Caenorhabditis elegans: one gene and its partner. The protein of the gene in region 1 purifies or fractionates together with the protein of each later gene. This does not show direct contact. Each region holds a gene or a part of one and is shown in the gene's direction. Other genes may lie near its edges.

Region 1 (7,438 bases):
GATTATGGTGCATCGACGGGGACTTTATCAAATTGTAAGTGTTTTTGTTGTGTATTGCGTAAGCTGTGAGGTTGTTAGAAAAAGGCTATTCAACGCCGTGGGACACATTTAAAAAAAACTAACCAAAAAAAGTTGATATAGTAATTGACGTCATAGTGTGTTGCCCAGTCGATTCTTTGTTTTCGTGCTTCATTCATCATAAATTGATACACAAATCGCGTATTTCTCTCTGTGTCCAAAACTATTACTCTTTGACAAAAGGGAGCATTCTCCACGCCAGAAAAGTCCTCGTGGCATTCAATGATTAGTTTGAAAATTTTACGATTCACTTGTTTCAATCTGCTTCGAACATTTTTTGAGGTCTCAGCCATATTGACTCTGAAAATGTACGACTCATTAAACAGTTTTAGCTCATTATTTTGTATAAAAATTACTTCAGAATCACACGGGGTGACCCAAAATGTATAGACTTACGCTTCATTAATAGCCATTAGATTGATTACATTTTTGAATGCAAGGTGCGGTAGTTTTGTTATTTGAAAAGGCTTTTTCTGTAAGAAATCGCAGTTTTCATGACCAATAAAAACAGAAAAACTTACGACGAGAAGTTTGAATATTATTGTTATTGCCACAGCTATTACAAGGCCGATTGTTATTAGTAAAACCAACAAATATTTGAACATTTTGAGACTTATTTGAAATAAATATCGACCCAGACAATATTATAATGAATGATTTATACAGAGAAAAAGAGCACTCAGATGTCTTCTGCGTCGTAGGTAGGAAGAGGAGAGGTCAACAGATGCGCTATACGATACAATGAAAGGAGGAGTACACCTCGTGTCAGACCTAAAAAAGAGACACATAAAATTTGAACATTTATAATTCCAATAATATCTCACAAAACTCACAGAATTAATAAAAAATATGCCAGAAAATTATTTATTTTGAAAAAAAACTGAAAATTTGACTGAAAATTCAGAACATTTGACAAAGTCTACGTCAAGTTTCATTCTTTGATGATTCACGAGGCTACAATAGGGAAATTCGGTAAAACCAATTAACATGCCCACCGGCCGGAGGGACACTCACAAAAAGGCGCTAAGTACTTTCCGGTTATCATACCAAATCACTATCATCTTATCATTCAATGGAGGTGACTACGTGAGCATAACACAAAATACAACGCGCGGTGAGATATTGGAAGGGATTTATGGATTATCAAATTGAGAAAATTAGTAAAATATTAATTTTGAAATGAAAATCCACGTGGTGCCAAGATGTACCATCCCGGTTTCACCTACAAAAAATGCGGGAATTTTTCGCAAAAAAAAATGTGACGTCCGCGTGATCTCTGCGTTTCAACTTCCGCATTTTTTGTAGATCTACGTAGATCATACCGAAATAAGAAAAAATTTGAAAATTCCAGTTTTGATAATTCATATATTGCAAAACTTACTCGAAATTTGATTATCATCACCACAATTATTACAAAAACGGCAATTAGTAAAAGCAACAAATATTCCAACGTTTTCGGAATTGGTGCATTCGATAAGTTTTCTAAAAAAAAGTATGGGCTGCAGCAGCTGGGGGAGACATCTTATGAGATCAAGAAAAAGGTGCATAACAGGGGTGGGCGGCAAACGATTTTTTCCGGCAAATCGGCAAATTACCGGAATTGAAACTTCCGGCAAATCGGCAAACCGGCAATTTGCCGATTTGCCGAATTTGCCGGAAAAACGGCAATTGCCGAAAATTGTGGGCAAATTACTGGAAAAAAGAAACACTTAATTTTTTTTCTGAATTTTCAAAAACTATTCTTGTCAACGAAAATTATACAACTTAAGTTCTTATGAAACTTACTTGATGCAACTTATCAGATTTTGGTTTTGATGATGAATATGATTTATACATTAATTTCACCATTTTTCATTATTCAAATCATCAATTAGTGTGAGATATTTATTACGTTACCTTAAAAAACAACGAAATTATTCAAAAAACACAAAATTGAAACGGGAACATTTTAAAATTGTTTTCAGTAGTAAGTTGTCGTGGTGAGACCTATGCTTCAAAACAGTGGCCCTACCTTTGATTATTTCCGACAAGTCTGATGCCCGGCAAACAGCAAATCGGCAATTTACCGAAAATTAAAATTTGCCGAATTTGTCGACAAATCAATTTGCCATCTGCCCGTGACGTCTCTCTCTAACCAGTGCTCTGTTTCTCTTATTGTGTTACTGTGTCGATCAATATTCTTTTTTGTTTTTTTTTTGCCTTTTCAAAATGCTCCTCGACTTTCTGATACTCTTAATCACTTACGACGAGAAGTTTGAATATTATTGGTATTGCCACAGCTATTACAAGGCCGATTGTTATTAGTAAAACCAACAAATATTTGAACATTTTGAGATTTACTTGAAATAAATATCGACCCAGACAGTACTATAATGATGTATACAGAGAAAAAGAGCACTCAGATGTCTTCTGCGTAGGTAGGAAGAGGAGAGGTCAACAGATGCGCTATACGATACAATGAAAGGAGGAGTACACCTCATGTCAGACCTAAAAAAGAGACACATAAAATTTGAACATTTATAATTCCAATAATATCTCACAAAACTCACAGAATTAATAAAAAATATGCCAGAAAATTATTTATTTGTAAAAAAACTGAAAATTTGACTGAAAATTCAGAACATTTGACAAAGTCTACGAAACAAAACAAAAATTACTGAAATTTTTGAGTAAATTAATTTTGCAAAAAATTACAAAACGAAACAAATTTCGTTTGGCCAAATGTTACCTTAAATTGTGAATTTCCGGCAAAATTTATTTTCAGCTCAGCCCTGTTGCATAACACCCCCCCCCCCCCCCCCCCCTGACCAACAGTTATTTACATCTGTTGACCTCTCATAGTCAGGATCTTATTGAGCCTTCCCGGTGGGGAGACCCCATCTGCCCGTGACGTCTCTCTCTAACCAGTGCTCTGTTTCTCTTATTGTGTTACTGTGTCGATCAATATTCTTTTTTGTTTTTTTTTGCCTTTTCAAAATGCTCCTCGACTTTCTGACACTCTTAATCATCGCCGTCATTTCAATATTTGCGGTCATAAAAATAAAATTTAAAGTGAGTTAATCCCTTATCATGTACAGAAAAAATTTTTAAAAAACTTTTACAAAAAAAACCATTCCGACTAACAAAACTTCAGCGTGTTGCATTCAGAACTGTAATAAATTCAATGAATATTAATGAAGTGTAAGTTACCTTTTTCTGGGCGGGGTCTAGCACACCACAAATTAAGATAATCGAAAAAACTAGGCCCAATATTTAAATTCCAGTCTGCGCACTAAATTTGAAATTGATTTTTTTCTAATTTTTAGTCTTGAAATTTACCGTATTTCCTCTGTTAGTCTTGCAACCCTACGGACCTTTTCTCATCGTTGTGGTGAATTTTTTTCTGGAATTTATACAAAAATATAGAGAAATATTCGTACTTCTTGCAGACAACTTCAATTTTGTTGCAGACAACTTCAATAAAATATTTGAAAAGTTGCTCAAAAAACGCATTAAATTTGAAAAATGGCCTGTGAAAGTGCCGATCGGCACATTTAGACTGTGGCACAGTTTTTGTAAAGTTATTTTCAAAAAGTACAAGTATTTTTCTATATTTTCATATACAGTTTCAAGAAAAAAGTTCGACACAACGATGAGAAACAGAGGATTTTGCAAATGTTGATTCCGTAAAAAAATAAAAACCAAGTGCCTCTGCTGCTACGGACCGATTAAAATTAGTTTAAAAAATGCAAGGAGAAACAATAATTATCATTAAATTTCTTGAACAGTGAAACACAAAGTTAGAAAATTTTCAGAATCGATTTGGCTAGGACATCTACTCGTTTCCGACGGAGTTTGAAACAAGTAAATCGAAAAATTTTCAACGTAATCATTGAATGCTATGATGAGTATTCTTCCGAATTGGGAAACTATTTCTGGTATCGAAGGATAACAGTTTTGGAAACAGAGAGAGATATGCAATTTGCTTATCACTTTATGATGAATCAAGAACAAGGAATCAACTGGGCAACTCATCAGAACGTCCATTATTTTATTAATCTGTTTTGGTAGGATTTTTTTTTGACTCAAAAAAACGGCAAAATTTTTAATTTTAACGATATTCTTTCCGCCTTTTTTAACAATAGCCCATTGACAATATACTACTTACTTTTTGAAAAACAAAAGTTTTCCAGCACGTACCACAAGGATGTGAACAAGTCGCCATGCTTGTCCTATGAAACTTCACAAGAGTTAATCAATCTTTTGGGCATTTTAAATGATTCATTTAAAATCGACCATGTTGAATTGGCAATGGAACGTGATGAAATCTTTGGGGAATTCAAATCCGCACTGAGTCATCCATTATTTCGGAAATGCCATTTTGTTAAAGTTCTCGGCGAGCTATCGTTCGTTGACACAGAAGACGTGGAATTCATATTGAAGAATTTCGATTTGAAATTTGGATTTTCAAATTGTAGTTTTCAACTAGTCGGGTTCAACAAAAAACTCATAAAACTGGTAAGTTTAAAATGTATGTAGCACATATTTCAGTACTTAATGATGTAGTTTAAAAAAACGGGAAATTCTGAAAATGTTTTATCAGCATTTCAAGCTACTTACCGAGTCTGTGTTTGCAAAAAAACTTTGTAAGAAATGCTTGCTTACTTTCCTATTTTTCCTTTGGTAAAAGTGATAGTTTAAGTTCCTATTCTGCAAGTTTTTCTTATGACACGATTAAAAAATCGTATTGCAATAAATAACATTATGTATCAGTAATTTCCTAAAATACACTACTCTTTTTTTAAGTTTTACAATATTCCACGGTTGGACTTACGAAGATGCCCAAAATTAACATTAGACGATTTGAAACTGATGAATTGCGAAACGATTCGATTCGATTATTTTGGTGGATTCTCGGGAATACAACTAAACTGGCACATTCAATACTGGTTTGCCGGAAATATGTCAAAACTACGAAGATTTCAATTAAACTACTGGCCTTATGAGTGGACTGATGACTTATGTGATGGTTTGCCACACTCCGAGTGGAATCCAAAACGTCGAGCAAGATATTTCTAGTGAGTTTGATAATAAGCTCATGCCTAATAAGTTATGGTTCTGAACTAAACCCAAACTTATTTCAGTGATGATCTGGAAGTCGTTGATTGTTTAAAAGGACGCGATATCGAAAGAAGTGACGGTCTACTTGCAACTATTTTAGTCGAATATGATACCATGTACTTTCTCATATGGCATGATAGATTCCCGATGGATCAACAAACATTGTTTCGCTTTACGGATAATTAATATTTACATGCTTTTTGAATTTTTGCAATATAAATTACCATTTTCTTGAATCGTTTTGTTAATTTATTTAAACCTGTGAGCTAACACGAGCATGTTATCGATCATCTAATATACTTTTTTTGGAGCAAAAATGATTTTCTTGAACATGCTACATTGCTTTGGATTTTTTCAAAATCTCATATTTTTCAAAATTTTGACAATTTGCCAAAACTTTGATCGTAAATTATCAAAAATCTAAACATTTTTGGAGTCTTTTATTATGGTATTTGGTCGTTTTGGATCATTGTAAGTGTATTTTGACAATGTTCCAACTGGCGCTACTCCACCTTTAAAGTCATTTGATAGAAGATAAGGTTTCAATAAAATATGTAAATTTTGTTTTTATTTAAGAGATTCTGAATCTTGGATTTTAATTTATATTTACCCAATTTTATGCCTTTAAAATTAAAGCTAGATTTTTTGATTCACTTTCTTATTATCCGAAGCTTCTGGCACCTACTAACGTTTGATATTAATTTTTAAAGAAGTTGGATTTATTCTTTAAAATTATAGTTCTTTGTGGAAAAAAAAGTATTCATTTCTTAAAAGAAATATTGTTGAAAACTGATAATAAAATAAGCACTAGATATTTCAGAAGCTGTTGAGTTTTTAACACTTTTCAAAAAAATCTCAATTTTTAAACAATAAAAATAAAGTAAATAATCAAAAATACAATAGTGACAATAGGAAAAGCAACACGAGAGATCACATCAATTCCATTATTATCTCTAAATGAGGCGCACCCCTCGTTATAGGCGACCTCCACGGTCTCCTTGGCTGCTCCCATTGGGTGGTCTTCCTGTGGTCCGAGGGTCTTGTAACGGATGGAACGGCGTCCTCCACAGCAGATGACAAGGAAATATTCAACAAATGAGAAGAAGGTGAGCACAAGGCAGAAGGCTAGCCAGGCACCTTGAGCTTGAGTGTAGGAGTCTTCTCTCATGAAGATCTGGAATAAATGTTTTAGAAAGTATTTGAATTTTTAATTTGAAACTTTGAAATTCTTATTTTAAGAGCTTTAAAATAAGTCCCATGTCGACCTATTATGGACAACTTTTATGATTCTGGCTTGCGGTGCGGTCGCGTCGCGGTTTTTCGTGATATGTTTTAAAATTTTTGTGGCTAGAAACGCTAGAAATTTGATAAACATATATTCAAAGTGTTCTAATCGGCTTTCACAATTGTTTAAAAAAATTTCGAAATTTCGAAATTTTCTAAAATTTTATTAAACACTATGAAATTTTTGTAAATTGCATCAAAGATCAGATTATTGACATTGAGTGCTTTAAAATAATCCCAATATTGGCTTAATTCAACCAACTTTGAAATGTATTTCTCGCGGTGCGGTCGCGGCGCGGTCGCGTTGCGGTTTTTCATATTTTTTTAAGGGAAAATTTTGAAAATGAACGTTTTATGCTCATAGTTATGAAACTTTTTGAGCCGCGGCGCGAACGCTACGCAGCTCAAAAGCTACCGAATCATTCAAAATTGAACTAATCTAGTCAGAATGGGTGTTATATTTAAGCTCTTGAAGTCAAAAGTTCGATTTTTTAGTTCGATAGTTGAAGTAAATTTCGGTGGACTTTTGATAAAAACTCGTTTTTTTTTATTTTAAAATCTAAATAAAATAATTTTGAAGTTGAACTTTTGTTTCAAATTCAGATTGCTGACGTTATAAGCTTCAAAATAAGCCCCATAATGGCTATAATTGGATTCTTTTGAAATTTGTGTAAAAAACGCGACGCGACCGCGACGCATCTATGTTTTTATGATTTTTCGTAACTGTTGCATTTTGTGCTGAAACTCGAAAAACTTACGTAGTACGCAGCCAAGATGAAAAATGGAACAGCAGCAGAAATAGTTCTCGGGACCGACCAACTTCCATGAATCCAAAAATGAAGCCAAGACCCAATCAGAAGGAATAAGCTGGGCAAAAACCATGACATGAGCCCGGAAATCGTACTGGCAGAGAAATATACATGTGCATCAATACAGGAATAGACGCCAACTGTATAGTTACCGACACAGTCTCCTG
Region 2 (6,055 bases), on another chromosome or scaffold:
AATATTTTTCAGCAACCTTTGTGATCGTTGCTCTTTCTCCCTCTTTCTCAACAATTTTCCAAATTAAACACCATACCACATTCATATCTTGTGGTCGACAACATTGCGGAGTTCCACAGTCTGCCTCGAGCCCGACCGTGTAGAACATGTCAACATGAAGGTCGGTCAAGTGAAGTGCTCGCAGAGTTGGGTTGCCTGGCTGAAAATTGGAGGTTTTGTTGGTGTCGGGGTAGGCGCCTGTTTATGCCTACGTGCAAACCTACCACTTATCTAGTGGCATTCGGAAAATTTGGCAGTAGACAGTAGTAGGCAGGCATAGGTAGGCATACCTTTTTTGTCAAAAAAAAAACCTACCGGAACAACTTGTTTCGGCACGAATGGTGGCTGATTTCCAGGAATCGTCATGTTCCAAATTGTCGCCAATGGATCCACGAAGTCTCCGCAGTCTGAAATAATTCCAAATAGGCATGCAATCGTGCCTACCTACGCGCCTACATGCGTGACTAGCCTGAAAGATAGTGATCAGCTTGGCAGTCTACTAGAATCTTCTCAAGCCGCCCCGCACCCCATGTTCTATTAGGGCGGCGGGTCACTGTTACGCGTCGGTCTGGTAGTAGGCATGTAGGTAGGCATGTTTGTGCCTAGGCATGGTAGTACTTACCATTTTTCATAAGCAATCCGCAAAGTTGATGTGGAGTCACGAGAATTTGCTTGATGACATACATGAATTCGTCCTGAAATCTTTGATTTTCAATACATTTTTAAAATTAAATTAAATATTAATGTGTCTCACTGAGAAATCCGAAATAATAAAGTTACAGACATCATTATCTTCAATATGGAACGTTTCACAAATAAAAACCGCAATTTCCATAACACATTCTTCAGTCTTCTTTTCTCCCCACTCAAATTGCAAAAGGTCCACAATTGACTTGCATTCCTCGCATTCTGTCACCGCGAGGGTGCCTGGAAAATTTTTTCCTGGAATTTAAACACAAAAATGTAAATCTAAAACTCTACCCTGAAATGCGAGAGAAAGGACGAGAAGACCTAGGAGCATCGGAGCCGTATCGTTTCTGATGTTAAACGGGAGCAGCGGCGGAGGGGGAGAAGCCGAGGTTTCCAGTAATAAAGATAAGAAATTTGGAGCGGGAGAAGCACATGGCGATGACACGTTGGGAATGCTCACTGATTTTTGAACGACTTATCAGGTATGGAGACTACAAGTTTTTTGGAAACTATAACTTTTTGGAGAGGAAAAGTTCAAATATAGAAATTTTTCTTGAAAATGCACCAAAAAATGTGAATAAAACCTTTTTTCTGGACAAAGTGCCTACGTGCCTGCCTACTGCCTATTTTAGGCACGAGGCAGGCGCAGGTCGCCTAGTAGGCAGCTATCATTTTTGTATCGGCGCGAAAATTTCAAGAGAAACTACAACAATGGCATGTTTTCCTGCAATGTTGAAATTTTATGCCTGCCTACCGCCTATTTTAGGAATGTGTGTAGAACGAGGCAGGTGTAGGTGGTTCTAGTGGCCTGCAGACTAACATTTTTCGTGAACTTGAAAATTAAAAAATAACATTTTAACTAGTTGGGCTTTCCTGCCTGCCTATGGGCCTATCTACTGTAGGCAAAAGGCAGGCGTAGGCCGTTTCAAAGGCGTGTAGAAATTTTCGTGCGAAACCGAAAAAAGTTATGCAATATTAAATTAATATATATCTTCAAAACCAGAATACGTTTTTTCTACCTCTCTACCGCATATTTCTCGCCTGAAGGCATAGGTCGCCTTGCAGGCAAGTGGCACATTTGTGCTTATGTACATTGGAAAGGTTAAGAAAATGTTTTTTTTTAATTTAAATAAAATAAATTACTCCAAAAAACTGCACCAAAAGTTCAATTTAAAAAAAACGTGAACTTCAAAAATACGAGAAGATTCTTATCACATCCCCTACCCCCACTCTGAATTTTTTCATTATTTTTGTATTTCGAAACTTTCGCGTTGCATCTTCTCCCATCATGAAGAAATTGTCCAAAAAAAGCTCGAGAAGAAAAGTTAAAAATATTAACGAAAAAGTAAGTTGTGATTTTCGAAATTTTCAATTTCCAGGCGTCTTCCAGAACTAATTAAATTTCAGAAAAAGAAATCTAAGGCACGCAGTCATAAAAAGCAACAACTTCAAAAGTCGAAGCAACATGGTAAAAATAAGAAGACAAAAACTAAGTCAACTAGTGGATCTTTGTCGGTGGATAAATCGAAAGAGTCGGAAAAGATGTTGATAGCAAGGAAAAATGATTCAAGAACGGTGAATTACAAGGAAAAAGCACCGGAAGCTGTAAAAGATCATGAGATTCCTAATGCAAATCGCAGTGAGTTCTAGTGTTTTTTTTTTGAAATTTTTTTGGAAACTTTTAAAGGGCTCAGGAAAGTTTTTTAAACGGTTCGGAAGTTTTAGAAACCTTTGGAAAATTTCTGGAAGATTCTGGAAAGTTTTTGGAACGTCTGATGACTTTGAAAAATTCCAAAAATTTTCAGAAGCTTCTGGGAGCATCTAGACATTTTTGAAAGCTTATGAAAAATTTTTAAAGCCTCTGGAAACTCTTGAAACATTTTTTATTCGAAAAAAAAAAATCAATTTGAAACATTGAAATCCACGACGTCCACGTGGAAGCAAAATTATTTAATGACGTATAAAAAAAATTCCAACAAAAAAATTGTGCTTGCCTGTTCATCTTCTGCCTTTAGGTAGACACTAAAATGCCTACCTACCTTAGTAGGTAGGTAGGCAGGCATCTTTGTACCTACCTGAAAATCCAAAACCCTAACACCTCCACAATTTCCTGTTTCAGTTCCCGGAACGACACGGCTCAACGAACCGAAAAACATCGAGGTCACGAATCACGAGGTGGATGATAAGACGACGGAGCGAGTCTATAAGAAGTTGAGGGAAAAGAAGAAGTCGGCGGCGAAACCGAAACCAATCGATGCGAAAAGCAAGCTTCTGATGGATCGAGTGCCGAAAAAACCATATCGATTGAAGAATAAGCCCGATGGTATGATGTTGTGCGACGAGCCATCCACTTTCTACCGTACCAACACTTCAAAGAAGAAACTGAAGACGTCTTTACTTCCCGTTGAGGATTCTTATGATCACGTTCGAAAATTGGAGGACATTAAGAAGGAACCAGAGCAAGATGTGTACAAGGGTCAGGACGTCCCCACCTGGGCAGTAAAAATAGAACCAACTGACGATGACATGGTGAGTTATCTTTTTGTGTAGGTCTCAGGAAAAATAATTTTAAAAAATTTCAGAAAGAGACCGACGAGGCGATCACTGTGAGTACCGATCATTTGGAGATGTACCGAAACAAGAAGCTCAGTCTCAAAAGCATTCCCCCCACGAAACTGGTGCTCAACGAGCTACAACCGTTGGTGGAGTTGAAGAAGAGAGATGAAGTTCACTTTGAGACCGGGCTGGTGTTCTCCAACACGATTCGGAGTCTGTTGCTTGTCCATGAGAGTGCTCGAGCGCTGAGTGATGGAAAAGTGGATGATGAGTATTCCGACAAGAAGGTCCAGTTTGATACACAGGAACCGGAAGCAACATACATCTACTCGGTGAGATATTCCCGGCTGGGGAACAGCTAATTGAAAATTTTCAGAGAATCAACCCAATCGAATCGGCCAAAGCCGCTCGTTCTGGAAAGTGACACGCCAGCACTTCTACCACCAATACAACCACATCGAATTAGAACTGAACTTGATTTTGCCTTGATTTTATAAATAAAGTGTGCGTTCAGGGCTTAATTTAAAAATTTTTATTAATTTTAATAAGGAAATGCGAGCAAAAAAGTGAAAAAGGTTTCAATTTTTGCAGTGGGAGTGGATAGAAAGTAAAACAATGAAATCATTATGTGATGAGCGAGGTAAGGAATAACAGAAGAAGGCAATAAATACAAGTTTTTGAAAAAAATTTAAGTGAGAGTGGAGTAAATAAAAATGATGATGGGAGCTTAGTTCTGGACTTGGGAGGGAAATTGGTACTTACATTAGTTAATTTAGGTAAAAACCTGAAATTTTAAATTCCGGCAATTTTCCCTTTGGCCGATTTGCCGGAAATTTTTAAAGGGATTTTTTAACAGACGGATGAATTTTTTCTGTTTTTTCTACATATTTTCATAGAGCTTACTTTTAAAAATAGATGTAGGAACATTTATACGATGCGTACAATTTTGTCATTTGAAATTGAAACTCTGAAATTTCCAAAAAAAAAGTGCGAAACCACAATTTGCCGAGAATTTTTTCCGGCATATTTTCTAATAGTATTGCATGCGATACTAATTTCCGGATACCTTTTCAGTGCAATACTATTAGAGACTGCAAGACTAATTTCTTTGGGTGCAATACTAATAGAGAACATACGGTAATCGAAAAGTGAAATTAATATGCATTTTTAGGTTTAAAAAACACTAATTCTAAGCCTAATATAGACAAAAAAAGGCACGTTATATTTTCAAAATGATTGACTTTCTTTGGCAGGTATACTACACAAGTTCCGGAAAATTAAAAAAAAACTTTGAACAATAGAGTTTGTAATAGGAACAGCTTGAAAAATAGATGCAAAATGTAAGTTTTTCAAGATAATTCAGGCTCGCCCATTACAACAAAATTTTGAATGAAATTTGTAGAGGAGCACGAGTTTAATAACAATGAGTACAAGCAGTTTCCCAATCATCAAACCCAATATAGAACTCATCATATTCTGGGGGACTGGGGGCCCATTTCCTCACAGTTCCCAATCTGCCGACCTCATCTTCAGTGATCATATGGCCGACTTCATTCACTAATTCTCTCGCCACCATCATTGAATTTATCCTGGAACCCATTGCTGTGGTCAAGAGGTTTGTAATGTTACGAACATCATCAATAGTTTTTCTTTGTCTATTTCCACAATCACATTTTCGGATTTGAATACATCTTTCAATAATTTCACCAATCCCACAATTCGCTCATCCATAGTTTCCTTGTTATATGTAAAAACAAGAGCCGAGCTTGTGAAGCATTTTTGGGTGGCAACGCTTTCCGGTAGATTCCAAATTTTCCTTAGTGATTCAATATCCTTCTTCAATTCAGGAGCAAAAGAAAGATGAGGAAAACCTGGTTCCTCACATACTGCAACAAATATTCGTTTTGACACAAATATTATCAAGTTAAGTTTATAAAGATGTGTAAACTGTCTGACAGCTATCTTGGAATTCTGAGAAGCCATCGATAAGGATAATCTGAAAATTGTTATATAGTTAGACAGAAAAAACAGTATGGAAACACAGGAAGAGTATTTGAAACTATTAGGGTGAGAAATAAGTTTGTGGTTTTTTCTTGCGATATTTTTTCAAACTTTTATATGGTAGTTATAGGAAACTATGATTTGTGTACATTCAAATGTTGTGAATCAAATTTCTCGCTTCCATGCTTCTTGGAGCCACTTCTTGAATTTCAATAATTTCCAACTTCGATCCTTCGGTCCATTTTTGAAAAAGTTTCTCAGTGACGTGTGATTCAACAGGGCAATGAAATTCGATCGATTTCCATTTATTCACCGAGCTAATGATACTGTCGTTTGCAACAAACGCTTCTTTCACCACTCCCATCAGTCGCTCAATTTTCTCGGTTTCGCCGAACAATTTTCGGAACGCTCCATCGATAGTGGTCTGCTTTCAAAGTTCACGCAAATTCGATCTGGATCCTCGACTCGAAACGTTTGAGCAATTTTATGGAACGTGTAATCTTCAAAGTTCTCAAAGAAATTGGAGGAGAATGTCAAACTGTACGCTGTTTGTCTGTTATTTTTGAATGATTCGAAGATTTCGTTGCAGTATCCTAATAATTTTTGGTTCTTGTCCATACATTGCTTTTCGCCTGAAAATTTTTTTGGAACTGGCAACCAGAATTCAGATTTCTTATTCTCTTCGGCATGAACAGCGAGCTGCATCAATAAACGATTTGTCCCTCTTTCGTTCGAGTGAGAAACTGCCAATACCACCAGGTCTGTTGAC

Evidence for each region.
Region 2: the proteins of T27A1.2 (region 1) and W03G1.2 fractionate together in Caenorhabditis elegans (co-fractionation; one large-scale study listed by BioGRID). This does not show direct contact.

The regions. Positions count from the first base shown.
Region 1 is NC_003280.10:528,823-536,260, reverse strand, and holds T27A1.2 (F-box associated domain-containing protein), read left to right. Parts: upstream 1-3,241; coding exon 3,242-3,258; intron 3,259-3,872; coding exon 3,873-4,124; intron 4,125-4,250; coding exon 4,251-4,575; intron 4,576-4,863; coding exon 4,864-5,135; intron 5,136-5,201; coding exon 5,202-5,364; downstream 5,365-7,438. Other genes in the region: T27A1.3 (F-box domain-containing protein), read right to left, coding at 124-378, 475-551, 600-683; lgc-34 (Neurotransmitter-gated ion-channel ligand-binding domain-containing protein), read right to left, coding at 6,041-6,352, 7,221-7,438.
Region 2 is NC_003282.8:522,680-528,734, forward strand, and holds W03G1.2 (Ribosomal RNA-processing protein 8), read left to right. Parts: upstream 1-1,972; 5' UTR 1,973-2,017; coding exon 2,018-2,074; intron 2,075-2,136; coding exon 2,137-2,368; intron 2,369-2,848; coding exon 2,849-3,258; intron 3,259-3,311; coding exon 3,312-3,617; intron 3,618-3,661; coding exon 3,662-3,709; 3' UTR 3,710-3,812; downstream 3,813-6,055. Other genes in the region: Putative sphingomyelin phosphodiesterase asm-3, read right to left, coding at 77-199, 355-446, 662-734, 794-966, 1,021-1,060.